7 linked regions of the Coturnix japonica genome follow. The protein of the gene in region 5 purifies or fractionates together with the protein of the main gene of each other region. This does not show direct contact. Links are inferred from orthologs where the notes say so. Each region holds a gene or a part of one and is shown on either strand. Other genes may lie near its edges. The genes, in order: SPTAN1, UBE3A, GSK3B, ENKUR, MYH9, ACTB and CTNNB1.

Region 1 (3,586 bases), on a different chromosome or scaffold from region 5:
GTGATTTCTTCTGTCATTGCGTTGCTTGTGAAAGCCACAGCAGAACCCCTTTTATTTGAAAAGAGCAATCTAGCTGAGGTGCACATGAAACGAGTTTGGGGTGGATTACAAAGAAACCAATGAGAACTATAACTGTTTCCTAGTCAAAAGCAGAGGAAGTTATGAATGGGGAACCACTGGCATCCCATGGCAGTGCTGAGTTCTGCTCACAGAACCATAGAACAGCTCAGGTTGGAGGGGACCTGAAGAACCATCAGCTTCCCCCCCCATTAGCTGGGCTGCCAGCTGCTGGGTCAGCTCCTGGGGCAGGTTGCTCACACAAGGAACAGCTCTTGCTCTGAGATGTGGGAGAGAACAGAACGTCCATCTTCACCTGGTGTTTAAACAGTTCTCCAGTAGTCAGAGGTTTCAGTTCAGCAGAATGGATTTTCTGTTGTAACTGTTCTCTGAATGATTAAATCCCCAGAGTATCAACCATTCTGTGTTCTGGGAGGAGGAAGAGGTGTTCCTAGGAAGAGCCTTGGCTGAAATTAGGTATCTTTAAGACTTCATCATACACAGTATGAACTTATTGACCTGCTGATTGGCCGTGCTGCAGGAGAGGAGCTTACCCTGCTGTGATGTTATTCTTGATGGTAGAAAGCATCCCAGGAGGAGCACAGAGCGCTGCCCAGGTTTGGCAGCTGGGTGCTGCCTGCAGCCTGAGCTCCTGCAGCCCCCCATGATGATGCAGGTCGGGGATTTGACAGGAAGAGGAAAGGAAACAACACGGTCTTTAAATGCCTCCAGGCTGCCAAAACCTCCCAGAGTGTGTCTGCCCATTTACATCCCTTCACTATTGGAACAACTGCAACACAATAGAAGCTTTGTAACGAGGCATGGTGTAAAAGGTTAACAAACACTGCATGGGCCTGGCGCTGAGGCTGTGGGCCCTGTGCAAAGGGCTGGGGGGAGCCAGGGGCCTTTCTTACAAAGATAGATGGCTTTTCATAATAAAAGGGTGGAATTCTGTGCAGATAACTGCTGCTTGTGTGCTCTGTAATGACCACAGTGTCCCCTTCTGCTGTTTCTGCCAGATAAAAAATAGTTTGCCCCATTTTTTTTGCTGAACAGTTTAATGGAACCGAGCAGATTTTCCTGGAACAGCTGCTGAATTCTGTGCTCCTTTGTAAACTGGTGTAGTAGAGAGTTCTTGTATCCAAGAAGGAGCTGACAGAAAGGGGCCATTTACTGAAAGCCACGGGGGCAGAGCTGGAGACCAGCAGCCAAGAGCTTTTGTTCAACAAATTGCCACAAGGCCGCTGGTCTGCGGGGCAGCCGGTCCTTAATGCTGTGTCCCTAATGCTGTGTCCTTAATGCTGTGTGTTAATGCTGTTGTGAATGGGTGACGGACACAGACTGAGCTCAGGGAGCCCTGCGCTGCCCTGCCAATGGGGAAAGCAGAGCTCCAAGGAGGCTCCAGGGCAGCAGAGTGTTGGTGTGGTGCTGGCTGTGTGGGAGAGGGGAGCAAAGGAGAGCGTGGGGTTGGAAAGAACGCCTTTGTAGAAGCTGTAGATGAGCTAACAACAAAATGCATTGTTTTATCCCAGCTTTACACAAAAATAACCCGTTAGTTTCCTGTGTGTGCAACCAGCATCTGGATTGATTCCATAAGTGAAGGCTGCTGTTTGCTGCAAGCTGCTGGTGCTGCAGTGGCCGTGGCTGGCTGTGTGCTGTCCGCTGTTCTTTCTTCTTCTCCTTTGGAATTTACCTGGTTTCTTTCCTTTGATTAGCATAGCCTACCGTCGTGTCATTCGTGTCTATCAGTATGAAGTTGGGGATGATCTATCTGGAAGGTTTTTTTTCCTCTTTATTTTCTTACCTCACTTTTGGTTTTTAAATGCACTCGTTAATTCCAAGGCTCGCTTTCCTTCCGACTAACTCACGGCTTAGAGATGCTTGGAGGTGTGTTCCCTGCCCGGTTCCCCCCATGGTTGGCTCCCATCTCCCTGCCCAGGGCTCTGGGTGTGCACTGAGTGTGGCCTTAACCCTGTGCTGGGGATCAGGGTGTTTGTGTGGCTGCAGAGCGATCCAGCGCCCACAGTCCCCTCCTCTAAAGTGTGTAGGATGGGCTTTAGAGGGGCTGCAAAGCTGCGGTTCCTGGCAGGACCCTCCCTAGCAGTCAGTATGGCACACACTGCTGTGTCCACACACAGGTTGGTCAGTGTGGGCTCTCGCCATCACTGGGAGGATGGAGGTACCTGAGTGCTGCAGCTTTAGGGCTGCTGAGGTTCCTGGGGGGGCAGCGACCAGAGACATCCCTTATCTGGTCCCTACAGAGAGATGCTGCTGCCATCCCTGCAGTGCGACCCTGCTGTGTGAGGATGGGGCTGAATGGAGCAGAGCTGCCTCAGTTCCCCCTGGTTGGGATGGGGCAGGAAGGCACCTCTCCATCATCCTACACAGGGGAGCTCCGGGGTTTTCTGACTGTTCTGTGATTACTTCCCAAGCAAACCAGCAGTTCTCAGTTCTCTTCCCCCTGTTCTATCCCCGGTAACACACCTCTATAGAGTCCCAGTGCAGCCCATCAGTGAATCCCCCATGGTTGGTGTGTGTGTGTGCTGGGGTGGGACTGCACCAATCTGATCTCATGAGGCCCAGCAAAGCGGGTGCTGTGGATCTGGCATGAAGTGTGACTGCTGGGCGTGTTGCCTTTCAAATGGGGCTAGAAATTAACTGTACAGAAACGAGAATTAAACATGATGTGACGTGTCCGCCTGAAATAGCGAGTTGGAATAAATGAAACACGAAGCCAGCATTGAAATACCTGCAGATCAATGCTGCTGTGAGCATTTGGAAGGAAGGACTGTTAATTTCAAGCCCCACCTGCCATTGGTTATGGGAGGAGTCCTGTGCCTCACTGTGATTCTGTACGTAGGTCCTGTATGGTGGAGGAGTCGGGGACACTGGAATCCCAGCTGGAAGCTACTAAAGTAAGTAATGATTGATCCCCTGTCTGTAAACCACCTCCCCCATGCAATTATACGGTAAAATCTGAATTGATTTTTATACATTTTGAACGCTGAAGGAACCTTGGTCTGATGTCCTCTTATAAACAGGACATCAAACAACACTCCAACATAGTTTTCCTCTTTTCCCTCCTAATGGGTGTTCACCTAAAGGCTGGTTGTGGTTGTTTTGGCTTTTTGCACTCCTTGATTTTCTCCTCCTCTCTCGCTCCTCCCAGCGCAAACACCAGGAGATCCGGGCTATGAGGAGCCAGCTGAAGAAGATCGAGGACCTTGGAGCAGCCATGGAAGAGGCACTTATCCTGGACAACAAATACACGGAGCACAGCACCGTGGGGCTGGCGCAGCAGTGGGACCAGCTGGACCAGCTGGGAATGAGGATGCAGCACAATCTGGAGCAGCAGATCCAAGCTCGGTACTGGCTGCCCTGCATGTAGTGTGTGCTGTGCCCGGCCTGGGGGGAGGTGAATGGCAGCACCTGCTGGCTGCCTGAAAGCAAACCTGAACGTTTCCCAGCTCTCTTCATGGGGATGAAGTTCACATGGTTTGGAATGGTTCCTGTTGGCTGTTGGTGCCTT
Region 2 (4,674 bases), about 72 Mb from region 5:
CTGGCATTGATTAGTGCAGCATTCTAAAAACCTGTTTAGAGCTTAATTTTGGAATTTGTTCATTTACTTTGAGAATAACTTGATAACTCCTGAGTTTGTGTATTTTCACTCTGCCTGTTGTATGTTGTCATTTGTCATGCCCAGGGCTTGGGTATTCACAGAATCACAGAATTGTAGGGGTTGGAAGGGACCTCTAGAGATCATCGAGTCCAACCCCTCTGCCAAAGCAGGCTCTGTTAAGTATTCTGTTAAGGTAGTTTTCTGTGAATTCAGCTTTCGTTCTGGTCTTAAATGTCTGTTTGGTTTTGAAGCCATCAAATATCACTGCCCCCCTTAAAGTGTTGTCGGTTAGATGTGGTACATAGTCACCTCGCACTGGAGTTAGGTTTTGTAGCTGGTTCATTTTCCTGAAAGAATGGCAGAAGGAAAATTCTGCTGCAGCCTCCCAAAATGAGCCAGAAAAATGATTAATAGCCATTGCAAATATGAACTGTGACTGTATTAGTGTTTCATCATACCAGTGCTACCCTAGAGCCTTTTAGACATGGAATGCTTTAAATTATTTTCCTCATAGCTGAGTGCAGAGCTGGATTTGCATAAGCTGAATCTTTCTAATCCATAGATGCTAGACTGTTCTTAAAATGAGAGCTAAAGTCCCATGTTATCCGCAGTCACTATGTGCGTGACCATGGTCACTGTTTTAGGGCAGTGTCAAATAGAATTCTTTCACTGAGTTCATTCTGCCATGGAAACCAAACTTACCAAAACTCCAGAAACCTTTCCAGTTGAAAACAGGATTGTGTGATGTTCCCTTTACTGTACTTGGCCTCTTTCTTTGGAGTTGTACAAGGAGAGTATGTGATGATAAGCAGTTGAGTCCCTTCTCTGTAGGTTAGATAAATGTCTCAATGGTCAGTCTTCTAATATCTATATTTTTGTGTGTGAAGTAGTTCCTTGTTGATCAAATTTGCTACTAGAATGCAAGCAGTGGCTCAGAAGGAGGTGATTAGAATCAGCGTCTCAGAAAATACTCTTCTAGTGAGTTGCAGTTGGTAGGGATGTGAAATACTGTTTAAATGTCACACTTTACACATTTAGGCTTTTAAAGTACAACATGGAGTTTAATCTGGTTAACTACATTTGCTTGGAATGTCAGGAGGTTTTTGACAGAGGGAAAACAACACAAAATACACTAAATAATGCATTTTGCTTAATGTTTGATACAGTTTTGTTTTCTTCTGAATATAAGACAGACTGAAGGGTTCCTGTGAGTATGTTTATTGTTTCACTTCTTTCCATTAAAGACTGAATTGATCTTTTCTTGGCCTCGCAGCCAGTACAGAGTATTATTAGTATTTAGGTCTCCTTACTTAATAACTTAAAGTCTGGAGAGCTACTGTTCAATATATCTAGGAGACCCTTATGTTCTCAGGTTCATCTATCTTGAGGAAGTGCTGTGGCTCTTTCAGCACACAATTCCTGAAGACGCATCAGATTCAGTATGTGTAGTGAAGTGGGTGCCCCACACTAAGGTCACAGGCACCCAGCTATTGGGGTTCACTGCCTGAGAGGCACATCATGCTGAAAGGATCAGGGTTGGAAACATGAGCTCCGTGTGTGTTTGCAGGCACACGTTAGCTGTGATGGCTTTGGCTGGAGTGGACAGAAGGTATTATAACATCACTAGAACCAAGGGGTGGTGCTCAGTTCTGGCTCCGGGTGGAACTTTGGGCATTTTGATGTACAGACATGCCCTGTGGGCAGTGCTTTCACTGGAAACCTCTCTTCAAGCATTGCCATTATTACACCTAATTATCCAAAAGAAGGAAAACAACAGGCGAAATTTAAAAGATACTTTCAGAAACCAGCATTCAGATTCACAAAGATGGCTGTCCATAACTACACTTCGGTATGTGAGATGTTTTTGACTGCTTTGGATCTGAAGGTGATCTTATATTTCAAAAGCGTAGTATAATTACTTGGCCTATTAAGTCTCAATTTTCCTCTGTTGAAAACTGTTTGCTTTATTTAGCATTTCTCTGTATTTAGCTTAAGATATCTGAGAAATGCAAAGTAGATGTGTTGTGTTGAAACTTTTGAAGCAGCACATTCAGTTCCTTGTTTTATATGTATTTAGATATCCAGCAGAAGGAACTAGAAAGTGACCTTTATAAGGAGTCTCTGAGGGAACTGTGGCTGTTTAGCTTGAAGAAGAGGCTGAGGGGAGACTCTTTACAGCTGCCTGAGCAGGCTGCAGCAAGGAGGAGGGTGTCAATCTCTTTTTGCAGGGACAAGTGCTAGGATGCAAGGAAACTTATTTGGGTTGTATCCAGTTTATACTGGATATTGGGAAGAAATACTTGGTCAAACATTGGAACAGGCTGCCCAGAGAGATGGTGGAGGCCTCCTTCCTTAGAGGTATTCATGAGACCTGTTGATGTGGCTTATGGACTTATATTGAAGGCCTTTCCCGGTCTAAATTATCCTGTGCTTCAAAATGTTATTTTACCGACATCTCCAGGGAGGTAGAGGTTCAGCAGTACGAGTTTCTTGTGCTACCCTGCAGATTTGGCAGTGTTTCAATTACAAATGATAAGTACTTATCTGGCTTTTTATTAGATAAAAAACAGTTAGAAAAGCCTATAGAGATTCTTTTATTTTTTTTAAGTACGGCATAAGTAAGTCAGTGAATATTAATTTTTAAAATGGAAAATGTGCTTGTGGAATTATTGGGCTTTGGGGAAGTGGAAGTTATGTATATTACAGTAGGCTCTTGCCCTCACCAAAGTATAGTGTCTTGCTTAAGAAGGTTGTACAAGGCCTACTGTGTGGGAAGCTATCCTCAAAGCAGCCTGTAAAATGTGTACAACTGTGCATGTGCAAGTGAGTTTTGAAATCAGATAGGCAACAACGGTATGAGTCTTTACAAACATGCGTGTAACTGAACTGCTTACATAAAAAACAATAATTGATATGAGAAAATATGTAGTGGTTCTGCAGTAGCTTTTTTTTAGTTTTCATTAATGCCATTTCTGTGCTTTTTATCCTCCATCATGATGGATATAGAGTTTCTTCTACGTCAGCTGTTAGAGACAACTCTAATCTTAGTGCTGTGCCTTAGTATTTCAGATATTACCTGATTAAAACATAGTGTTTGATGTAATAAAATACTGTTAATATAATCAGCGTTTATATACTGAAATAGTTAAAGTGTTACATGAGCTATAAAGGTGTGCATGCTTCTTTAGCAGCTTACCCAGCTTGAAAATGTAAGACTTATCTTGCTGGGAATTGGTCATCTTTTGACAGTGTATTTAGCATGAGTAACAATTCTGGCTGCTCTGGGTGAAAACGTATGCCCACATTTAGAGAAGCCTAATGAGAAATAATCCTTATAACGTTCATACGTTTTTACTCAGGTCAGAAAAAACATTGCTGCAAAGAGCTTGTGACCTATGTGTCGACTGCAGTGGAGAAATAAAATGAAAGAAAAATGTGATGTAGAAACTGGAAAGGCTGTAACTCTTATCTTCAGATCAGTATATAGCTATTCTGTTCCCTTGTACAGTAATGGAATTGATGGTGTTGATGGTGCTGCTCTGCTTTTTTATCATCTTCCAACTCTGCCATTGGGCGCCAGGGAGACATTTTATTCTGTACTTGGTCAGGTAGGCATTTGAAGTAATGATTTTCTTCCCTTTTGCTCTTAGAGATCTCATGATTATAAGGAAGGAATAGAGGTGTTACTTTTAAATAACATACACCTACCTCAGTAGTTACTTTAAGAACTTGAGGACACTTCCCCTTCCGAAGCCACTGCATTGAAACTAGTACTTGATCAGCCCATATTAATGGCTAGGCACAGCAAGTGCTGAGTAGTACAAGCAGGTCTGAGGCTTCAGTTCTAATGTACTTGTTCTATGGAGAATCTGCATACATCAATTTCTGGAAAAAGCAACTTTCATTGTGACAGTTTCTGGTTGATGTCTTGCTTCTTATGTTCTAACCTTTAGACATGTAGTGTATCATTAAATTTGAATTCAAGACCTATATATTAGACACCTCCAAAATGTTAAAGATTTTGTTTCTATTTGATACCTTGCCTTCATATCTAACTTTCTTAAAAGAACAGGATTTTTTGTTTGTTTGTTTTGAAAATACAGTGAAATATGGTGTTCTTGGTGCTGCATGTAGCTCTTACTGTCCTAATCAGCAGTAGCTTTCAGGTGTTTTATTTACCAATTGCATGTTTCTCTAAACATGTAGCTTTAGTAACTGACCATTTAGGATGTTTTTTTGTATGTATAGTACTAGGCACATCAAGTAATATAGAGTTACAGTTGTAATTCTTCAAAATACGTTCTTGCCACGTGTTACTGTGGGAGAAAGAGGAGAAATTGGCAAATAACTGTTGGAGAGACATACTTCACTAAGCTGAGGTTATTCAGCATTGAGCTCATCTTTAATCATGGTTTTGTCAGCAGTTCAATTAACCAAGTAATGCTCTTCCTACTCTTTGAAATAACAAACTAATATCAGATAGTTGTGATCACGTGGAATCTTGTGTATTAAAAGAGAAAACATGTTTTAGAGGATTGATATCCTATTGATATAGTATTTACTGATAATATTACTAAATAAATGCCTGGATCATTTGTCACGTAGCTTCCCTCT
Region 3 (4,723 bases), about 24 Mb from region 5:
GGAGAACTGCAAGCTTCTGATTTACATATTCATCACCTGATTTTGAAGCTGATTTCTTGCACTATTAGACGTTAAGATAACAGCTAAGCTCTCACAACCACCATCTTTGCCATACCACGCACTTCCTACGGGCTCAACCTAAGAACACACGTTTCTTTGTGCGAAGAAAACCTACAAAGCCAGCAACGAAGACCTGAACAGAGAATAAACTACCTGGGAATGACTTCAGCACAGAAATTCATATGGTGCGGTGGAAAGAAACACAAAATGATCTCAAAAACACCAAAATAACAAAAAAATTGGCAGATCTCATAGGAACTCTTGATGTTGGTACATCATGGAAGTGATACAGGAAGGCCACAGGGTTCCTACTCTTGTAGCAACTGTAAAATTCTCATAACTAACAACTATGACAGAGGCCTGGGAAGTCACCTTCCTCCGAAGCCAGAGGACAAGACCCTGATGGGAATCCCCTTCCATTCAAGGCTCAAGCTTCTCAACAACTTCCGAGCACAAAGTCTAAAAAGATGGAAAAGTCAATGGCCACTCCCCCCTTTCACAGAATCACAGAATGAGCCGGGTTGGAAGGGACCTCAAGGATCATGTAGTTCCAACCCCCCTGCCTGGCAGGGCCACCAAACATACACCTTTACTAGATCAGGTTGCCCAGGGCCCCGTCCAACCTGGCCTTGAACACCTCCAAGGACGGGGCATCCACAACCTCACTGGGCAGCCTGTTCCAGGGCCTAAGCCTGCCATATCCTGAGCAGAAGAGCAATCACCACACTCCAGCTCTCTAACACAAGGTCCAACACACCCTCCTCCATTCCTTCCTCAATGCTTCCACCTCGTCCTTTGAATCCTTTCAAAGGAATGGAACTACTGCCGGGATCAGCTAGAAGGTGGTCACCAAAGCAAGCGTGACCTCACCACCTCATTTCACCACCACCCCAGCCTTACAAAGGCGAGCAAAAAGGCTGGCATAGAGGATAGGCTTTGCTTCCTGGTGACCTGGAGAAGGTCTGAATCAAGATGGGGATACAACAGCTGCCTACAGGACTCAAAGAGCAGCAATCCATCCATTTCCATCTGCTTCACAATCTCAAGAGAACCAGTAAAATATCACCCTTTCTGGCAATCAGTGGCGCTGCTCTCTTACAAAGGAAAATAAGAAGTCGAAACTTCCTGCACTGTCTTACACGGATAGATTAAGTGAAAAATACGCCTGCCTTTCCCACACAGTCCTTGCATGCGGTTCTCTTGCTTTGTTCTGACATTTTTTTCCAGACAGCAGAAGGACCAGGAGCACATGACTAGAGCGACTGGGGAGGAGGGGCTGGGGGGGGGGGTTATCACAAGTGCGTGTGCTTTATGCTACGGCCTTTGTTTCTCCCTCCGTGTTCCACACTTGGGATCAAATCGTATTTGCAAACTTGTTAGTCTGCATCACTTAGCACCCGCTTCGAAGGCGAGCATCTGTCTGGTTTCTGACCTCAAACAAACAGGAAAGGAGCATCAATGACCTTTCAAGAATCGAGCCGTACAGCTCGAATAAGGCAAATTTAGCTTTGGAGCGTGGCAGGGCTAAGTGTGGCTATAGCGTTAAACAGCCACCTGCAGAAATACCCAGCGACAAAACCTGCTTCCTATTCCACGCTCACGTGAAATAAATCGATACATTAAAATGGAGTCTTAAATATTCCCCCTTCCCCCCTCCCCCCCCGTGTGAATTAAGATCTTTAATACATTTGAACCAGATCAAACACAACCCGTTTTAGCAGCATATAAGAGTATAAAGGGCACTCGGAGTGCAGCAGGCACCCTGATCATGCAGATACAAAGCAGCAGCTCCAGAACCTCAGCCCAATATTCTCCTCAAGGCTTCAACCGCAGCGGAAGTACATTTTGATGCAGAAAAACGTCAGAATTTCTCTCATCTGTCAAAAAACCCCCAGCCGGGCAGAGCCCCGGCTTGAAAAGCCTCCAACACCAAGAACCAAACCCGCACACAGCAGTGCCAGGTGTGACCACACGGGATATCAAACGGATCAATCAAACCTTAACGCCCATCAAGCGCTCCAGGTCCCATAAAGACCCAGCCCTCCATTTCCATAGGGGAAAAAAAAAAGGGGGGAATATTACTGAAAACAAAGCCCGTAGCATGAATCGGCAATGATCTGACTGTTAATAGGCACGTATTCAAAGAAACCTTCAGGAATTATTTGCCATTCAAGAGATATAGTTCATTGTAGGTGACCCGCAGCTGGGCCTTTCTCTGGTCGTACCGAGAAGCAATGCCCATTCTCCATTCATATAGTGTGGCCGAGCCCACCAGCTGCAATGCAAAGGGTGGGCACCCATCAAGCACCGATCATTTCCAGCATGCCCGTGTGGAATAAAGCACAGGCCTCGTTCTTCAAAATATCCCCGTTGAGAAAACCTGGGCAAGGCAGCTCGAAACAACCACTCGCAAGCCACAATGAGGATTTTCTTCCTCCCTCCCGTTGGGGATCATTAGCAGCGTATGATACACCCTTTGTAACCCCCTCGGACGGCCTTTGTAATAGCCCCCCGTTTTCTTCCGCCTTTAATAGGCCGGGCCGTGGGCTTCCCACACCTGATACAGAGCTCCCCCCCCACCTCTTCCATCTCCCTCCTTCAGAGGGCACAAAACACCTCATTGGGACCAATGTCACGGCCGTACCCGCGTGCCCGTCATTCATCCCCTCCTCCCCGAGGCAGGAGGCAGAACAGGGGTGCTGGTAACCCCGAGGAGCCCCCCGCGGAGGCGAAACGGCACGGCCGGCAGGGGCCGAGGGCAGGGCCGGGAGCGGCCTTTTTGTGTCCCCCGCAGGCCCGGCCGAGCTCGCGGCCCACCCGAGACGAACGCGAGGCAGGGCAGGAGGGCGGCAGGGAACGGCCCGATACTCACGGCTGACTTTCATGCTGCCGAAGGCCGAGGGCTGCTGCACCGGCTTGCAGCTCTCCGCGAAGGAGGTGGTCCTGGGCCGCCCGGACATGGTCTCCGGCTCCGGCTGCGTCCCGTCGGGCTGTCCGCCTCCTCCGCTCTCCTCGGGGCTGCTCGCGGGGCTGTGTGCTGCGGGCTCAGCGGGAGGCGAAGGGCGAGCTGTGCCACATGAACCGCCGGCCCCTTCCCCCCCGGGGAAGCCCCCTCCCCTCTCGCTCTCCCCGCCGGCCTTTCCTCGCGTCTCCTTTCTTCTCCGGCCTCGCTCCTCCCGGCGCTCACAGCGCCATCCTCCCGCAGTGCCGGTGGGTCCGAGAGCCGCCTCCTCCCAGCCGCAGCCCCCCGGGCCGGCCGCGAGCAGCGGGGCTGTGCTCGGTGCTAGGCCTCGCTGCCCCCACCCTCAGCCCAGTCACATGGGGCGGAGGCTCGCGGCCCGGCTCCTCCGATCCTGCCGCTCGGCTTCTCTCTTCTCCTTTTCCCCTTTATGTCTTTTGCCTTTTTTCTTTTTTTTTCTCTCTCTCTTTTCTTTTTCTCCTCGCCTCCTTCCTCTCTCTGCCTCCTGCCCTCTCCTCTCCTTCCCCCTTCGCCACTGAGGGAGGGAGGCGGCGGGACTACTTTTCCCCCGGCGGAGGGATCTCGGAGCTGCTGGATCCGCCGACGGGAGGCGATGCGGCCCCGCGCAACGGGATCCGGCGGCGGCGGCGGGATCCGCGGCGGGCGGAGCGGTGTGAAGCGGCGCGGTGTGCCCGGCTGGCTCGCAGTGTGTGTGTGTGTGTGCTCTCAGTGCGGCGCTGAGGCGGCTCCGGCGCGGCTCCTCATTGCTCCCGCAGGGGCAGCTGGCGGCGGCTCACGCTGGGCAGGCTGCAGTGCGGGCGGTGGCCGGCGGCGGCGGTGCGGGCCATGGCGGCGGCGTTGGCTCCCAGCTCGTCCTCAGCCGGCTTCAGAGCGCCGGCGGCTCTCGCTGTTGCTTCCCCGGGCGTCCGAGGCGCATGAGGAGCCGTCCGCCCGGCTGAAGCTTCCCGCCGCTCCCTTCTGGCGCCGGCTGCCTCTCGCCGGGCCCCCCTCCCCGTTTCTGTTGGTCGCTCCCTTTGTCCCCGCTGCTGCCTCCGCTGCGTGCCGGGCTCCCGCTGCTGCGCTCTGTGTGTGCGCCAAAGCCGCGCAGCCGCCTATGCCCGTCGCCGCCCTACGCTGCGGAACGGCCCTAGGCGCCTTCTGTGAATAGCCACCCGAAGCGCCCGACGCACTCGTTAGCCCCCAGCCCGAGGCCCTGACGGAAATACCCGAGCGTCGTCGGGACCAATCCCGAGGCGGTTACGGAAATGCCTGTGACGGATCGGAACCAATCGCGAAGCCCTTACGGACGCACCCGAATCCCCCCGAAGCCAGGCGGAGGCCCAATCGGAAGGCGCCGCCACCGCCCTAGCAGCGCAGTCGGGCGGCCAATAGGAAGAAAGCCTCTCTTCCGGCTATTACCGAGCCAACCCGAAGGGAGCCGAAGCCAGACAGCCAATCGCAGGGCGCGCTGTCTCGATTACGCTCCGCCGATTGGTTCACGGCGATGAGGCGGCACGAAGACGGCAGCCAGCTGCGAGCTCTCGGCCAATCGCCATGCAGGGCCGGCAGCACGGCCCGCTCCCATTGGAGCATGGCAGCGGCGGGCGCCGCCCCTTTCACCTTCATGACCTCACCCGCTGCGCAGGGCGGGGATGCGGACAGAGTGCGCATGCGCGGGGCGTTATCGCCGCCGCCCTTGTGTGG
Region 4 (4,617 bases), on a different chromosome or scaffold from region 5:
AACTAATATGCTTGTTGGGAATAACTGAAGCTTATGTAGCTTAGGAAATCCTGTGTTGTTTTGTAGATAAGTTTTCCATATAATATGCCACTCAACAGGACTTACTTAAAATGTAATGGAAACCACTTTTACCAGAGGTGCTCACTGTCAGGTCTCTGAGCACACACAGTAGGCCCTGCTAGTCCTGACCAGCATCATTTAGTGCACCACACTTCAGCCCAGCCCTGGGCTGTCAGTCCCTGTCTCATCCAGCTCTCAGGTGTGCCTGCCCTCAGACTCCTCCAGAAGTGCTGTGTGGAATCAGTGGACAGACCTGGCCTGCTGCCCTGCCTTGCCTGATGATCACAAGGCTACTGGCAAGGCTCATTTTCATCACTGTCCTGCTCTGCTTTCAAGCTTCTGCTGAGCTGGGCCTGCTACCAACTTTCTGTTGGTGAGGTCATTTTTAGGTCACTCTTAATTTCTGGCCTTCCTTAAGGAGCTGCCTGGCTCCTGCTCTTCTGTAATATTGCTTCTTACCATCCTTTCTCCAGAGAATGCAGGAACGCTTCCTTTTTGGTGTAATCCTTCCAACACACCAACACAAAGTTGGTAGTCTCCGGAGTACTGTGAGTTCAGTTGAGTGATGAAAGACAGCTTATTCCCCACCATTTTTCCCAACAGACAGAACTCCAACTTAGAGTCATTAATATGTAAGAGTACATTCCTACAACAGCTGGCTTCCTGATGCTGACCCCATGAACCAGTGCTTTTCTGAGTTTGTTTTGAAAGCTTGCCATAATTTAGTACTGTAGAACACAGGCTTAAATCTGTTTCTCTAAGGACATCACTTTGGAAAAAGGACCTCTGAGGCTTCTCAGTGAGCACCTGCTCATCCTTACCTGCATAACACTGGTGCACACACAATGTTTTAGGAGCCTCCACTTCTTCTATGGCCAATAACATAGTTTGGTTAACATGAATGCCAGAAACCAGTAATACAAGATGCCAATTAGGAAACATACTGTTTTAAAGGAATTACTTACTGAGTAATCAAACTCTCTAAGAGTGACATTATCCTAGAGTTCAGGAGAAAAAATAATTCGATCTTTCTGCTTTTTGCAATCTGCATTTTAACTGGAGAGATCAAACCCAATTTTTGAGATGACATAGGAATCATTAAAAATAAAAGCCATGATGCCACACAGACAGATGATAAATGTTTAAGTTCCAGGTGATGAAAGTGCCATACATTAAAAAAAGGCCGTTAAGCAATGTAAGTTTTCTGAGGTAGGTATGAAACTCCAACAAAAGCATAAGAATTTTCTGAGTTGATGATGTAGTTTGTTCTCAAGACCTGTTAGCATCTAACAGCAATGAGATCACTGCTCTGAATGGTAGCTATGATGTGTCAGACTCATTCTAAGGCTACAGTATGTCAGCTCTAAATGCAAACACACCAGTAGGTGTTTTTAATGAAGTTCTGAATTAGCAATTTGAAATAAAAATATTCTAAGTTGCTCCTATGAGAAAAACAGAGCAGAGTGCTGAGTGCCCAAACAGAGCCAGTTTGTAGTAGTTAACAGAAATTTTGCAATACTTAAAAGTACTTTTAATAAAAAGTACTTAAAAGGAACATTACAGACTGTTCCAAGTTATTGGTGAACCAGCATTCTTTCTTATGTTCATCTAAAACATGAGTGCAGCAATTTAACAAGTTCTTGAGCTTGAAAGCACTAATGATCAAATGCCATGAAGCATTACATTCCAGCATACTGAATGTTGTTCAGCTTTCCTGAAAATGAGATGATCTTTTGTAAAACCCACCTGGGAAACCGACAGGACTTCAGAGACCAAAACCTACCTCAGTGTTCTGATAAGGAACTGAACCTCCAAAGGCTCCTGTCATAGCCTATATTTTCAAAGCTAAAGTCATTTGCATGTACCTTACATGTTTTGGTGCTGATCCACACATCCTCTTAGATGGCATTTTTTTTAGTATGGTACTTTAAGCTCTTCTGCTTTTTGTTTGTTTGCTTGTTTTTTGCTTTTTTTCTTCTTCTTTTCCAGGCTAAAAACCATTTCAAGCTAAAACTTTATAATTCAATTACAAATTCTGACAGCAACGTACTTACAATTCCAGCAGTACTGAAGTCACTGCAGCATTGCAGAATGGGCCATGAATCACAGAATCACAGAATTGTAGGGGTTGGAAGGGACTCTAGAGATCATCGAGTCCAACCCCCTGCCAAAGCAGGCTCCCTACACCACGTCACACAGGTCGGCGTCCAGGCGGGTCTTGAATATCTCCAGAGAAGGAGACTCCATCACCTCCCTGGGCAGCCTGTGAAGCTGAACATGTGTTCAGTTTCTTACACCCAGAACTTCTAACGCCCAGAATTATGACTTGTGCCTGAAGACAGGGTAGTTCTATTTCTAAATTATGGAACTGCAAATTGAGCTATCAGGAGGGCACATCACGCTGTCAACACATCTTCCATCCTTAAATGGCTGCAGCTGAGAATGAACGCCCTGCAGTTCATGTGACCAGTGACACACACTTACTTGCTGGTAACGTGGGTCCCTTGGAGTGTTTCTTCAGGAAATCCTTTGGAGATGGCACTGCAACTTTTGCTGGCCCCATAGTTTTCCATTGCGCTTTACTTTGCCCTATTTCGAGCTTCACGGACGGCCGAAACGTTGATATGTACCTTTGATGTTAAAAAAATAGGCGTGGTGAAGTTAAAGGTCAGAAAAAGGCACAACAAAAGACTGCACTATTTCATTTTATGTCTTCCCAAAGCCATCATCCCATCACCTCCCTGCTACACTTCAGCGCTGCCTCACGCTGACAGCCCACACCCTCAGGCTTTAGGGCCCTACCGGAACCACAGCACCAACAAGTGGTGCTTTACATCCCCACGTACCTCGGGGGTTTGACGGGCTTCTCCTCCAGCCGTGGCAAGAGGTTATACACGCTCTCCTGTGCCGCCATCCTCCTCCCGTTCCCGTCTCAAGCTGCCGCCCGCTGTTGTTGTGGCCGCCGTCACCATGAAAACGCGTTACTGGGCAACAGCGCCACGAGGGGCTGGGCCACGTCGCGTCTGTTCCGCCCCTACGTGGTACGCGGTGACGGCTGTGCTGAGATCCGAGCCGACGTTGGGTCGGGGTTTCCTTTGTTGTGTTTGTTCTGTTTTACAGATCTTACGGAAATGAGCTCGACCTCTTCCCTGCAGATGAGCGAGGCTCCTAAAGAGCTTTGAGTGCCCGCTGATGTTCTGGATTAGCACATGGGAGGTCCCGTGGCAGCTCAGATCTGTCCCCTGTACATCCCAGCTTCCTTCACTGTACGGTTCTGGCAGTGCTGCAGCTGCTCGTAGAGCTTGTAAGTGATCCGTTCCCCTGCACCAGTTGTGATTGCTGTGGTTGCTCATCTGCTGCTGTGACCGGGCTCTTTCACTTGGTGACTGGGAGGCTTCCTCACCTTCCTTTAATGCTTGTGTGGAAACGAGGTGCAGACAGATTTCACATGGGTGCCTGCTTTGTCAAGTACCATCTCACATTCTGGGCTGTGGGGTGATCATGGGAAGGTTGAAGTTGGCTTACTTTAAGATTTATTTTATTCCCTTCACAAAAGTTCTGAGGAAAGGCAAAGGGGAGGTTTTTCTTGTGTATTGGAAGCTCTGAAGTCTGATGATTATTTGTCTTGACTTACCTTGAGTTCTCCAACAGCTACAAACCACCGCTGGCTTGTTTGGTCTCTGGATTTTAACCACGCTTTGTGTCTACGCTGGTATCTGCAGCCAGTTTTCTCTATAACTCCCATCATCATTAATGGTTGCTAAGATTGTGTACATCTGCAAGTGATACATAGAGGCCTTTGGCCCTCCAAGTGGAGGGTTGACTTCTATTGTCAGAACTTGATTTCATTGGAGGTAAAGGCATAAGCTCTGCTTCAGTACAACACCCTCTCACCCCCAAAGCCTTTTGGCACAGGTAGCTGTAGCTAAAGGTGGTTGGTTTGGTGCTCTCACTAGACTGGTAAACTCTGCTAGACATGAAATCTAATTCACACTGTTTTCACAGTAAACTTTTGACACTGGAATAAAAATGATTTTAAAAGAGCAGTTCAGTAATTGCAAGCTTCTTTTTACCATATATACATCATATTGGTGCAAGGTTGGGTGAAGTTGCAACTGAGCAGCTGAATAAAATAACATGCGCATTCTTGCATCGGATTTACTGACTTGATTTCAAGCAATCTCACAGACTACTTGTAACGTTATGCAAATATGGCAAGTATGTAATCAGAGAAGTCTGTATCTAGTTCCTTCCTTGCCTACAGCACTAATTTTTGGGGCTTTTGTGTTCCCGTGTCCTAGATTCATAAAGCAGTCCAGATGTTCCATCCTGCAGCTGTATAGTGTACTAAGTGACTACGCCTTAAAACGCTTCTGTGGTACAACTAGAGGTGTAGACAGGACACTTTGCTTGGCATGATTTATATGCCCTTTGTTCCTAAACAAGGTTTGAAGTTATGCTCAATAAAATCACTAAAATATTGTCTCAATTACTTTAATTTTTACTTATTTTTTTAATATCTTGAACATACTCATGTTTGCTTAAGTATCACTTTCT
Region 5 (4,035 bases):
ATTATGAAATATTTGGGTTACCGTGTTCCACTGTCAACTATTCCCTGCATTTTCCACACAGAAGCACTAAGGTTGGAAAAGACTTCCAAGGCCATCAAGTCCAACCATCCACCTACCACCAATATCTCCCCACTAACCCAGGTCCCTCAGTATCACATCTAAACGTTTCTTGAACTCCTCCAGGGCCAGTGACTCCACCACCTCCCTGGGCAATCCATTCCAGTCCCTGGCCAATCTTTCTGAGAATAAATTTTTCCTCATAACCAAGCTGACCCCACCCCCTGGTGCAATTTGAATCCATTCCCTCTAGTCCCATCACCAGCTATGCAAGAGAAAAGGCTGACTTTCACTGTGCCACAGCCTCTAATTCATCTCACACAATACAAGTCTCTAACACTATGTCATCTGGGTAATTTCCAAGCTCTTTCTACTCAACTTTCCTGCTCACTAATGTAATACAAATGTAATATTCACAAATCCTCAAAGCATTCAGTGCTCTCTACTACAATTGACCATGTTCACACCAGCATAAGTATTCTGCAGCATCAAACTAACAGTAATGTCTTTGTGACATGTCCTGCACAGACTCCTTAGCTCCATACTTACGCTTTTCCCAACATCATCCTTTGAACTCATCAGGTCTTCCATCTCAGTGCGGAACTGCTTATTGACTCGTTCCAGTTCAGCTTTCTGTTCTATGGCTTCTTCAAGGGCTCTGGCCAGGGAGAGGGCCTTTGTCTCCTTCTCACGGGCTTCAGCTTCAGCACGGTCTCTCTCTTCTGCATATTTGGCTGAGATGTTCTTCTCCTCCGCCAAGAGCTACAAGAACACAGCATTAGTATTTTGAGAAATCACTAAGCCATTCTGAACAAGGCAAACATGCACCTTTTCTGTTTTTTGCCTTCTAAGTAGCATTCTGCCTCAGACAGAAAGAATCAAGAAAACCTGTCTTCAGAGAATGCATACCATCCCATCTCCAATAATGTGCTGACCCCATGTGAATAAACCTCTGATTCCCTAAGCATCCAACATATCAGTTCCAAACAGCCCCTCAAAAACTGCAGCCAGCATTTACAACTGGATATTGTTATCAGTATAACTGTTAGCCCTTTGGGAAAAGGCGCATCACTAAACTTCTTGTGCAAGAAACAAGTTTCCCTCTATGACAGCTTCTCTCCACTTTATGTGCTGTACCTGAGTTTAGAAATAAATGTGTATTCTCCAAACAGCACTGTTTAGATATTCTTAAGAGGCAAACCTGCCTAGTCAGATGTACCTACACTGAACAGATTGACACTGAAGTCATACCTGATCAAACTTCTTCTGCTTCTTCTCTAGGTTGGAAACTGTCTGGCGCTGATGATCCAGGTCCACAGCAATGTCATCCAGCTCTTGCTGCAGGCGGGTCTTTGTTTTTTCCAGCTTGTCATATGCAGCTATCTTCTCCTCATAACGCTGGGTTAAGCTCTCCAAGTCCTTTTGCAGCTTCTTCTTGGCTTCTTCTGCTATTTCAAGGCAGCCCAGACCATCATCCATCTTCTTCCTGGCATCTACTGCCTGAAGAACAGAAAAGACTGCATGTGAATCTCACCACATGTAGCACAACACTGTATGTGGTTTACTGGCACTAGATGAGCTGAGGAAATAGGTCTGTTGAGTTCTGAAGGAATCACCTACAATCATCAACACTGTATCAATGACTCCAAAGGAATTCCTGGGTAGAAATCTACAGTAAGATCATTATCTGAGACTCAATCAAGTAAGCAGGATCACCCTTGTCCATCAAAGGTTCTCTCATTAGATGCCCATTCCTCATTTACATTTTACTTCCTTCAAGTTAGAATTGCACTTCCTCTCCTCCCAAGTGTTTGATTTATGGAAGGTAGACTGTACCTGTTGCTGAAGAACAGAGATCTGCTTCTCTAGGTTTCTCTTCGCCTCCTCTTCTTCTTCCAGTTGCTCTTTCAAAGCATTTTTTTCATCCTCTGTTTGCTTCAGTTTAGTGCTGAAGCTCAGCTTTAGGCGAGTCTCCTCCTGCAGCAGCTCCTACAACACAAGCACCCCAGAGGAACTCAGTACATCTCCTTGGTTTACAAGGCTCACCATCCTCAGTCATTCTCTCCAGCAGGAATATTTTTGAAGTTTATTACCACAGAAATGGACAATAGGCTAAAGTGATTTTGCATGGTTAAGAACAACTTTACTCATAGCAGAATTCTAAGACAGTGATCATTTACCAACTTGGGGCACCAACAATATTTACTAGCTTCTAACTTACTAACTTATCCAATGGGATAACTTTATGGATCTATTGGAAATCATGAACAGAGAAATAAAAAAAGCCCATCAAACACAAGAATCTAGCATTGCAGCTCAGTACTAGCAACAAAGAACTCCCAAGCAGAAGAGTGATAGAGGAAGACTTCTAAGACATGGAAAGTTACGTGTGTTCCATATACTGAAGAAGCAGAAGGAAGAGAAAGAGCTCGTTTCATCAGTAATGCTCTCAACACCATGCAGCACAGCCCCTTAGCAAAACAGCCAGATTCAATCCTTTGAAGTGTTGTATAGTCAGTTAACAGCAGTCCAGATTGCTTTCTCACTTTAGTTGAGACCATTTGTAACAGACAGTGGATGTAAGTTATACAGATAATATGGATATCTTGGCTTCCAGAGCTCTCACCTGAGTATCCTGAAGCTGTGACTCCAGAGCAGAGAAGTCCTTTGCTAATTTGATTGATTTGCTGTCAGACTGGTTCAAAAGGCCTGTGACATTGTCCAGCTCAACCTGCAGGAGAGATGAGAGTATCACTTATTAAATGCATCAGCAAGATGAAGAAAGCCAGGAACAGCTGCAAGACCTGAATGTGAAAAACAAGGCACTTCTCAAAAGTAAGGCATGCGTATCATCTCCTGGGAGAAGACATGTGTCATTTCTAGGTACCTAGGGATGAAATACAAAGAATCCAAAAGAGACTCAACTGCAACAACCTTTTGTCTTTAAATCTCTTTATCACATGTGATTTGCTTCAGGACTGCATGTAGATACTCCAAATTACATTTTCAGACTCCAGAAGAGTATGCATACACCAGCAATGCTAAACACCTAACGACAGCCCTAATGATAGGCAATGCTTGGTGTGAACCAAAGGTATTGTTTATCTTGAAGAGAGCTGGAAAAAATCCTGAATTTCAGCATCTCCCTTTAGCCACCCCTCTTCACCATCAACCACATTACAAACTATCAAGATACATTCTTCCAAATCACCAGACTGTGCCACTCTAGGCTCACAAGTAGCTGAAAGGTTATGGAACTGTACAGTACAAACTGCTGCACGCTGAAGGGAAGCACCTTTTGGTGGCTGCTCATTAATGACACCAGTCCTAATGGCCTGAGCTGATAATGAGTTAAGGAGTTTGCTGAGTCCTTGGGAAGCAAACTATGTCTGTGCTTTTTTGTAGGAAAAAGTTCCTACAAAAAAGCAGAGGATAAAGATCCTCTGGAGGAACAAGAGATTTTCAAATTAACCACAGGAAGGTACCACCCTATAACCTTCTTTCCTCTCTATTCTCTGGCTACAACAGAAGCTAAGGAAAACCCATGCCACTCACCTGCAACTTGTTCACTCTCTCAGCCAATTCTGTCTTTACTCTTTCACCTTCTGTAAATTTCACCTGCAGTTCTTGGAGCTGAGCATCTACTTTTTTCCTCTTGTGCTCTGCATCCCCTTTGCCTTGCAGAAGTACCTTCACTTCATTGGACAGTTCAGCCTTTTCACTTTCCAGGGCTTGTTTTGCTTTTTCAAGATTTGCTCTCACCTGGAGGGGGAGGGAAATAACAACAAAATACCTCAGACTGAAGATACAGCAGAATACATCCAGTGAGTGATTACGTTTTTTTCCCCCTCCAAATTATTCCAACAAACCAATGTTGCATGTTTTACAGCTAAGTCTTAGACTGCTCATTCAGAAAAAAACAATATGAACACCTGATAAGCAGGAGACAAACAATCAGAGCAGACAACAATAAAGGAG
Region 6 (4,525 bases), on a different chromosome or scaffold from region 5:
TACCTTGATTTTCATTGTGCTAGGTGCCAGGGCTGTGATCTCCTTCTGCATCCTGTCAGCAATGCCAGGGTACATTGTGGTACCACCAGACAGCACTGTGTTGGCATACAGGTCCTTACGGATATCAATATCACACTTCATGATTCTGTTGTAGGTAGTTTCATGGATACCACAGGACTCCATACCTGCAAGCAAAAAGCAGTGTCAGGTCAGTCAGCAGTTCAGGGTCAAGGAAGCCAAAGGACCTACTGCTATGGGAAGAGAAACAAAGACCCCATAGTGGGAAGCAACACAAGCAAAGCCATGGCTTACAGGCTCAGCCTCCTGGTTCTGACCTAGGTACCTCTATCATCCTCAGGCTGAGGAAGACAAAGACTGAAGTGGAATGGGACAGACCTGCTAAGGGCCAGCAGTACAATGGCAGCTGACTAGTCTCTAAGTCACTCTAGGCAGAAGGGGCACGGAATCTCCTAAAAGGAGTCAGACTTACCCAAGAAAGATGGCTGGAAGAGGGCCTCAGGGCACCTGAACCTCTCATTGCCAATGGTGATGAGTTGACCATCAGGGAGTTCATAGCTCTTCTCCAGGGAAGAGCTAGAGGCAGCTGTGGCCATCTCCTGCTCGAAATCCAGTGCGACGTAGCACAGCTTCTCCTTGATGTCACGCACAATTTCTCTCTCGGCTGTGGTGGTGAAGCTGTAGCCTCTCTCTGTCAGGATCTTCATGAGGTAGTCCGTCAGGTCACGGCCAGCCAGATCCAGACGCAGGATGGCATGGGGGAGGGCATAGCCTTCATAGATGGGCACAGTGTGGGTAACACCATCACCAGAGTCCATCACAATACCAGTGGTGCGACCAGAGGCATACAGGGACAGCACAGCCTGAATTGCTACATACATGGCTGGGACATTGAAGGTCTCAAACATAATCTAGAGAGATAAGAAAGCACTGAGTCAAGCAGAATAAACCAAGGTTCTCACTGCATGCCTACATCAGTCCATGCATGTGGTTTTACATTTGTCCCTAGATAAAGAGGCTTCTTTGCTCCTCTAGAAGGAGATATCAGTGCTTATCTCGCTTGGTCTCCACCCACACCTGCCAGGTTAGAGCCTGAGCAAGGACACTGCTACCACAGGCCCATCCACATGACACAGCAAGGAACGAAACAAAGGCCAAGGAACTACAGTATAGTCATTCAAGGCTGGTAAATGGATTAGTGTCTAGTCAGAAACAGCAGTTAGACAAGTTGCTAGTTCAGTCTCAGAGAAAGCCAGCTTAGAGCAAACAAAACCTGTCAAGGTCCAGCAAAGAGGAGACTCAGGTCAGGAAAGGAAAACCCTGTAAAGATGGCAAAAAGGGAGAAGTGGTGAAGGCGGATAGAGGACAACATGGAAGAGGAGAGCTGGCCTGCAGCAGCGCCTGCTGTAGCTCCAGGCTCAAAGGGTTTTACACACCTGTGTCATCTTCTCTCTGTTGGCTTTGGGGTTCAGGGGAGCCTCTGTGAGCAGCACAGGGTGCTCCTCAGGGGCAACACGGAGCTCATTGTAGAAAGTGTGGTGCCAGATCTTCTCCATATCATCCCAGTTGGTAATTATGCCATGTTCAATGGGGTATTTCAAGGTCAGGATACCTCTCTTGCTCTGCGCTTCATCACCTACATAGCTGTCTTTCTGACCCATACCAACCATCACACCCTGCACAACAAAGAAAAAGCTTTAAGTTTAACTCTAGGACAAAATCCAATGGATGAATAAAGGTTTTATTTCCCCCCCCCGCAGAAGCCACACCTTTAATCACTAACCCCCTACTGCCCCTACTCTGCCAGGTTAAGGACTGGAGCCATTGGCTCAACACGGGTTGCTCGGCAGGATGCTGTGTATTCAACCAGTTACTGTTGCAGAGTAGAAACCTCTTATGTCACACATGAAAGTAAAAGGGCTTCTGGAGGCTCCACGCCCTCAGCACAACCACTCCCACCGAACACTCCTCTCCATTGTCTGGATGCATCACTCCAGCCATTGCCGTACCTGATGTCTGGGGCGACCCACGATGGATGGGAACACGGCACGGGGGGCATCGTCCCCGGCAAAACCGGCCTTGCACATACCGGAGCCATTGTCAACAACGAGCGCAGCAATATCATCATCCATGGCTGGCTGCGAAGGAAGAGAGGAGGCAGTGAGATAGAAGCGCTGCCGGTCACGCACTAGAAGCCGGACCCCGCCCCGCCTCGCCCCCTATAGATCCCCCCAACGCTGGGGATGGATCGCGGGGCGGCAGCGCGGCAGCACGGCCCTCCTCCTCCCACCCATTTCCTTCCTGCCGGCTCCGCTTCGCCCCTCGCCCGCTAGAGGGGGTCAGGCGGCACCTCCCGGATTTGGGCTCGGCACAGATTTGGGACAAAGGAAGTCCCTGCGCCCTCCAACCATGACCATAAAAGGCAATGGCAGCTCCGAGCCGCGCCTCGACAGCCGCCGGCGCTATAGGGGCAGCCAGCCCCGCCCACCAGCCGCCCCCAACCACCGGCACCGCCCCGAGCCCCCAACGGCCCCGCACCCAGCACAGCCCCGCAGCCAGCACAGCCCGCGATCTGTAACAAGGATTGGGGGGGGGGGGCTGCACATGGGGGTACAGCTGCACATGGGGGGGGTTAAAGCTGCACATGGGGGTCACAACCCGACCCCCCCCCACCCCTCACTCCGCCTTTGTTCCCTCGCCCCCCGCCCCGCTCATCGCAGCACAAAGCGCCGAACCGCCCCGCGGCACCGGGCAGCACCGGCTCCGTTAACACACACACACACCCCGACTCACGCCCCCTCCCCAATACACAGCGCCCCCCCGCAGCCCCTCGGTGCTCCCCCGTATGGCACAATGGAGCTCTGCTGTCGCAGCGTTGCGGTCCGGCCGCTCACCTGTGTTTGTACCGCGGTCAGTCGGAGCCGGGTCGGGCGGCACGAGGCGGCTGGATGCGGAGCGGGGCGCGGGGCGAAGGCAGCGCAAAGCGACTCCCGCCCGCCGCCCGCTCCGCCTTTTATAGGGCCGCCGCCGCCGCCGCCTCGCCATAAAAGGAAACTTTCGGAGCGCGCCCTTCTGATTGGCTGTGGCCGCACCTCTCCCGCCTCGCCCCGCCCGCCCCCATCGCTGCACAAAATAATTAAGAAATAAATAAATAGGAAATTGGGGGGATGAAAGGGGAGAGGGGAGCGTGGGGCTCAGCTCCAGGTGAGGCTGAGCGGCGGGGTGTGACGCTCCCTTCCACCCCCACCCCCTTTTGATTCCATAGTGCTTTGATTCCATAATGCTTTGATTCCATAGTGCTTTGTTGGGGAGGGGATGCAGCCCTGCCCCCATCCCGGTGGTCCTGCGGTCCCCTTGAAGTCACCTCCCGGGGACAGGCGGCCATAGCGATGGGAGCTACGGGAGCTATGGGAGCTATGGGATCTATGGGTGCTATATGGGATCTATGGGAGCTGTATGGGATCTATGGGTGCTATATGGGATCTATGGGTGCTATGGGAGCAATGGGAGCAGTAGGAGCAATGGGAGCAATAGGAGCTATGGGAGCGATGGGAGCAGTGGGAGCGATGCGCACCGGCTGTGCATGCACTGAGCTGCAGCCACACTGATGTGCGTGCACCCAGCAGCAATAACAGCAGCCTGCGTGCATGCACTGAGCTGCAGCGATACAATGAGTGTGTGCACCCAGCAGCGATAGCTCCAGTGCGAGTGCATCATGCTGTGGGATGGAGTGATACAATGAGTGTGTGCGCAGAGCTGCAATAACAGCGAGGGCTGTGCGTGCACTAGGCTGCTACAGCAGCAAGGAACGTATCACGGCGCGTGCATGCACCGAGCTGCAATCACACCATCGGCCTGGTGCTGCAAGGGAGGGGATGGGGCACCAGGTGCATTGTTTGCACCCACCCCTCCCGGCCTGCAGCGCTACCCAGGGCCAAGTTCAGCGCTCATGTCAGCAAGTAGCGGTGCAAACCTCCCGGCCAGCCCTTGGACTGCTGGGTGCATCGCAGAGCCCATCAAGGGCCGTGCTTCGTTAGGGTGTGAGCTGCAGCGGCAGCAGCAGCCGGAGGGAGGAAACGAGAGCTGAGTAAGGAGCTGAGTCAGGCAGGGCCCGGCCCGGCGGAGGTCAGGGCAGCCGAGGGGCCTTTGCCTACATTTGGGCAATATTTTGTTTCTTTCCTGTTTGCAGCGTGTGCTGCGGGGTTGGACAGGGCGGTGCGTGGTGTTGGTGAGCAGCGCTGCATGGAGCTGGAGCTTTGCAGCTCCAGAGCGTTGTTGATTAATTGCATTGATTAAGGCGCCGTGCAAGAAGCACTGTGGGTGTTATGGGAGCGGGATCCAGCCCTGTGTGGGGTCTTGCAGTGAGGGCTTTGTCACTGGGATGCTGCAAGGCTGGGTTGTGCTGGGGCTGCGCTGTGTCCCCTCTGAACTGGAGGTGGCCATGGGGACGGAGCTGAGCTGCAGGGACACCACGGGGGTGACTTTGTCCCCTCTGAGATGGTGACAT
Region 7 (2,686 bases), on a different chromosome or scaffold from region 5:
GCCCAGGGAGAACCTCTTGGATACCGCCCAGATGGTATGTCTGTTCCATTCCCCTTGACTAAGCTTAATATAAGTCAAGTCATTGACTGTAAAGGAGAACTGCAAATGGCTGAAGAGTAAATTACTCCTCAGCAAGATATTGCAAACTGACAGGCAGATGGGGAACTGCCAGTTCAAATAAGCAGTTTCTGCAACACCTCTGGCTGCACTGAAATGGGAGCCATATGAATGTGCAAAATTGGTGTCGCTTGTCTGAGTCTTGCAAGAGAATCTCCCACTGAGCTGCTGTTTCCAGAAATCTTTTAAATCCTTTACAGATGGACTTGACAATTCCAGAAGTGCAGTTTTTCTTTAAAACAAATGTTGGTATGGTATATATATTAGTCTTTAAGTGCCAGTAGACTTAAGTCTATTGCTATGGGTTCTGAGTCTGCAGCCTTGTAGCCTGGTTTTGCTGTAGTATTGTTGAATTTTAGTACTGTTGATTGTGCAGACTAATGGCTTGGCTGGAATCTGCTCGTGCTTCTGACTGCAGTTGCTTTGTCTGCAGAATCACACTGGAAGGCTGTTTCAAATGATGGAATAGCCATTAAGGGCAGGCAGCAGATCATTTGGAACTTGGCTGAACTAGAAAAACAATTAGATGGCTACAACAATCTTCTCACACACTGATACTTGCAGCTTCTGATGCATCTAACATCTGTTAACATTATGCTCTTTTTCCCTCTGCCACCTTTTAACTTTCTTAGATCCTAGCTACCGTTCTTTCCACTCTGGCGGATACGGTCAGGATGCCTTGGGTATGGACCCTATGATGGAACATGAAATGGGTGGCCACCACCCTGGTGCTGACTACCCAGTTGATGGTCTGCCAGATCTTGGCCATGCCCAGGACCTTATGGATGGGCTGCCTCCAGGTGACAGTAATCAGTTGGCCTGGTTCGATACTGACCTGTAAATCATCCTTTAGGTAAGAAGCTCCAATTGTGAATTTAAAAACAAAACAAAAAGAGAGAAACAAATTACTGGACTCAGGACTTGGTTGGCAGGGAGGGAATGGCTTAAATGGGTCCCAGTGTGACAGAATACTGAGGGGGAGGGGAAAAAATGCTCTGGAGACACGCATCAGTTTGGATTGTAGGAGTGTATGATTTTCTGCCGTGAGGTATGGAAGTAATTAACTGTAACGTCTTGTGCATCACCAGCTTTGTGCAGTCTTTATGTTGAAGTAACTTTTACTGAGGAACACTGACATTATTTTTCTGTTTTCCTTTTTTGCAGCTGTATCATCTGAATGAACTTGCATTGATTGGCCTGTAGAGTTGCTGAGAGGGCTCGAGGGGTGGGCTAGTATCTCAGAAAGTGCCTGACACACTAACCAAGCTGAGTTTCCTATGGGAACAATTGAAGTAAACTTTTTGTTCTGGTCCTTTTTGGTCGAGGAGTAATAATACAAATGGATTTTGGGAGTGATTCAAGAAACGAGGAATGCACAAGAATGAATTGCAAGATGGAATTTATCAAACCCTAGCCTTGCTTGTTAAAAATTTATTATTTTTTTTAAATCTCTGTAATGGTACTGACCTTTGCTTGCTTTGAAAGTAGCCTTTCTTTTCGCAGTAATTGTCGTTAGGTTTTTTTTTTTTAAGTCTCTCGTAGTATTAAGTTATAGTGAATATGCTACAGCAGTTTCTAATTTTTAAGGATTGAGTAAAGGTGTAGAACACTAATTCATAATCGCTCTAACTGTATTCTGAATAAAGTGTAACATTGTGTAGCCTTTTTGTATAAAAAAAACAAACTAGACAAATAGAAATGGTCCAATTAGTTTCCTTTTTAATATGCTTAAAATAAGCAGGTGGATCTATTTCATGTTTTTGATCAAAAAACTTTATCTGGGATATGTCTGGGTAGGGGCCAGTAAGAACTGTTTATTTGGAACCTTGTATTGGACAGTTTACCAGTTGCCTTTTATCCCAAAGTTATTGTAGCCTGCTGTGATACAGATGCTTCATGAGAAAAAATGCAGTTATAAAATGGTTCAAGATTAAAGTAAACTTTTAATTCGCTCTGTGTCAAGTTATTTCAGACTGTGTTGACAGGTCCTCCAAAACCTGTTCTCAAATTGTGCAATGCTTTCACTACTTCAAAGGCAGAAACCAAGAACTGCTCCCCTTCTCCATCCCACCTGGCGGCTGCTCTGTCCTTTGGAGATCACGGTTAGAATCATGGAGGCTTCCTCCCACAGTATTTTTCCCCTTTCAGGTTCCTCAGCAAGGCAGCTATGCTTAGTGTAGCATGCAGGAGAAGGTCCTTCACTTATAAGTGCTCAGCTGCTCCACTAGCTTTAACTCAGCCTGAGATAGGACCTGCATGCAGCTCACCTTCTCTAGAGACAGCACTTGTGCAGATAGAAGTAGGTAATGCTGTTAACAACTGCTGGATAATTTATAGACTGTGCACATCTGCACTCTGCAGCTGTCACCAGCCTCTGCCCAGAGTGCTCATCCTGCCTCTCAGAGCAGATGAGATCACAAGGGGAAAAAGCTATAAAGGATCACAGCTCCTGGTAGCATCCCAAGGAGATGAGAGCTGAAGCAAGCTACAAAAGGGTGCTCTCCTTTGCTTATGGAGTAGACAAACTGCAGCTATGCTGATGTCTCATTGAGTAACATCCAGGGATATG

What was found.
Region 1: the proteins of MYH9 (region 5) and SPTAN1 fractionate together in Homo sapiens (co-fractionation; 3 studies listed by BioGRID and IntAct, with this or other methods). This does not show direct contact. The link is inferred for Coturnix japonica from reciprocal best matches to the Homo sapiens genes MYH9 and SPTAN1.
Region 2: the proteins of MYH9 (region 5) and UBE3A purify together in Homo sapiens (affinity purification with western blotting; 3 studies listed by BioGRID, with this or other methods). This does not show direct contact. The link is inferred for Coturnix japonica from reciprocal best matches to the Homo sapiens genes MYH9 and UBE3A.
Region 3: the proteins of MYH9 (region 5) and GSK3B purify together in Homo sapiens (affinity purification with western blotting; 4 studies listed by BioGRID, with this or other methods). This does not show direct contact. The link is inferred for Coturnix japonica from reciprocal best matches to the Homo sapiens genes MYH9 and GSK3B.
Region 4: the proteins of MYH9 (region 5) and ENKUR purify together in Homo sapiens (affinity purification with western blotting; 4 studies listed by BioGRID, with this or other methods). This does not show direct contact. The link is inferred for Coturnix japonica from reciprocal best matches to the Homo sapiens genes MYH9 and ENKUR.
Region 6: the proteins of MYH9 (region 5) and ACTB purify together in Homo sapiens (affinity purification with western blotting; 4 studies listed by BioGRID and IntAct, with this or other methods). This does not show direct contact. The link is inferred for Coturnix japonica from reciprocal best matches to the Homo sapiens genes MYH9 and ACTB.
Region 7: the proteins of MYH9 (region 5) and CTNNB1 purify together in Homo sapiens (affinity purification with mass spectrometry; 3 studies listed by BioGRID, with this or other methods). This does not show direct contact. The link is inferred for Coturnix japonica from reciprocal best matches to the Homo sapiens genes MYH9 and CTNNB1.

The regions. Positions count from the first base shown.
Region 1 is NC_029532.1:3,903,124-3,906,709, forward strand, and holds part of SPTAN1 (spectrin alpha chain, non-erythrocytic 1), read left to right. Parts: intron 1-1,772; coding exon 1,773-1,835; intron 1,836-2,917; coding exon 2,918-2,972; intron 2,973-3,226; coding exon 3,227-3,423; intron 3,424-3,586. UniProt on the Homo sapiens protein: Fodrin, which seems to be involved in secretion, interacts with calmodulin in a calcium-dependent manner and is thus candidate for the calcium-dependent movement of the cytoskeleton at the membrane.
Region 2 is NC_029516.1:118,886,891-118,891,564, forward strand, and holds the start of UBE3A (ubiquitin-protein ligase E3A), read left to right. Parts: upstream 1-1,703; 5' UTR 1,704-1,739; coding exon 1,740-1,909; intron 1,910-4,674. UniProt on the Homo sapiens protein: E3 ubiquitin-protein ligase which accepts ubiquitin from an E2 ubiquitin-conjugating enzyme in the form of a thioester and transfers it to its substrates.
Region 3 is NC_029516.1:71,650,643-71,655,365, reverse strand, and holds the start of GSK3B (glycogen synthase kinase-3 beta), read right to left. Parts: upstream 3,246-4,723; 5' UTR 3,021-3,245; coding exon 2,933-3,020; intron 1-2,932. UniProt on the Homo sapiens protein: Constitutively active protein kinase that acts as a negative regulator in the hormonal control of glucose homeostasis, Wnt signaling and regulation of transcription factors and microtubules, by phosphorylating and inactivating glycogen synthase (GYS1 or GYS2), EIF2B, CTNNB1/beta-catenin, APC, AXIN1, DPYSL2/CRMP2, JUN, NFATC1/NFATC, MAPT/TAU and MACF1.
Region 4 is NC_029517.1:15,140,201-15,144,817, reverse strand, and holds the start of ENKUR (enkurin), read right to left. Parts: upstream 3,064-4,617; 5' UTR 2,975-3,063; coding exon 2,907-2,974; intron 2,691-2,906; coding exon 2,545-2,690; intron 1-2,544. UniProt on the Homo sapiens protein: Adapter that functions to localize a calcium-sensitive signal transduction machinery in sperm to a calcium-permeable ion channel.
Region 5 is NC_029516.1:47,319,643-47,323,677, reverse strand, and holds part of MYH9 (myosin-9), read right to left. Parts: intron 3,820-4,035; coding exon 3,613-3,819; intron 2,789-3,612; coding exon 2,684-2,788; intron 2,047-2,683; coding exon 1,894-2,046; intron 1,558-1,893; coding exon 1,309-1,557; intron 820-1,308; coding exon 607-819; intron 1-606. UniProt on the Homo sapiens protein: Cellular myosin that appears to play a role in cytokinesis, cell shape, and specialized functions such as secretion and capping. Required for cortical actin clearance prior to oocyte exocytosis. Promotes cell motility in conjunction with S100A4.
Region 6 is NC_029529.1:4,231,784-4,236,308, forward strand, and holds the start of ACTB (actin, cytoplasmic 1), read right to left. Parts: upstream 3,046-4,525; 5' UTR 2,913-3,045; intron 2,157-2,912; 5' UTR 2,151-2,156; coding exon 2,028-2,150; intron 1,695-2,027; coding exon 1,455-1,694; intron 930-1,454; coding exon 491-929; intron 186-490; coding exon 4-185; intron 1-3. UniProt on the Homo sapiens protein: Actin is a highly conserved protein that polymerizes to produce filaments that form cross-linked networks in the cytoplasm of cells.
Region 7 is NC_029517.1:39,929,258-39,931,943, forward strand, and holds the end of CTNNB1 (catenin beta-1), read left to right. Parts: coding exon 1-34; intron 35-749; coding exon 750-958; 3' UTR 959-970; intron 971-1,281; coding exon of another isoform or gene 1,282-1,298; 3' UTR 1,299-2,069; downstream 2,070-2,686. UniProt on the Homo sapiens protein: Key downstream component of the canonical Wnt signaling pathway.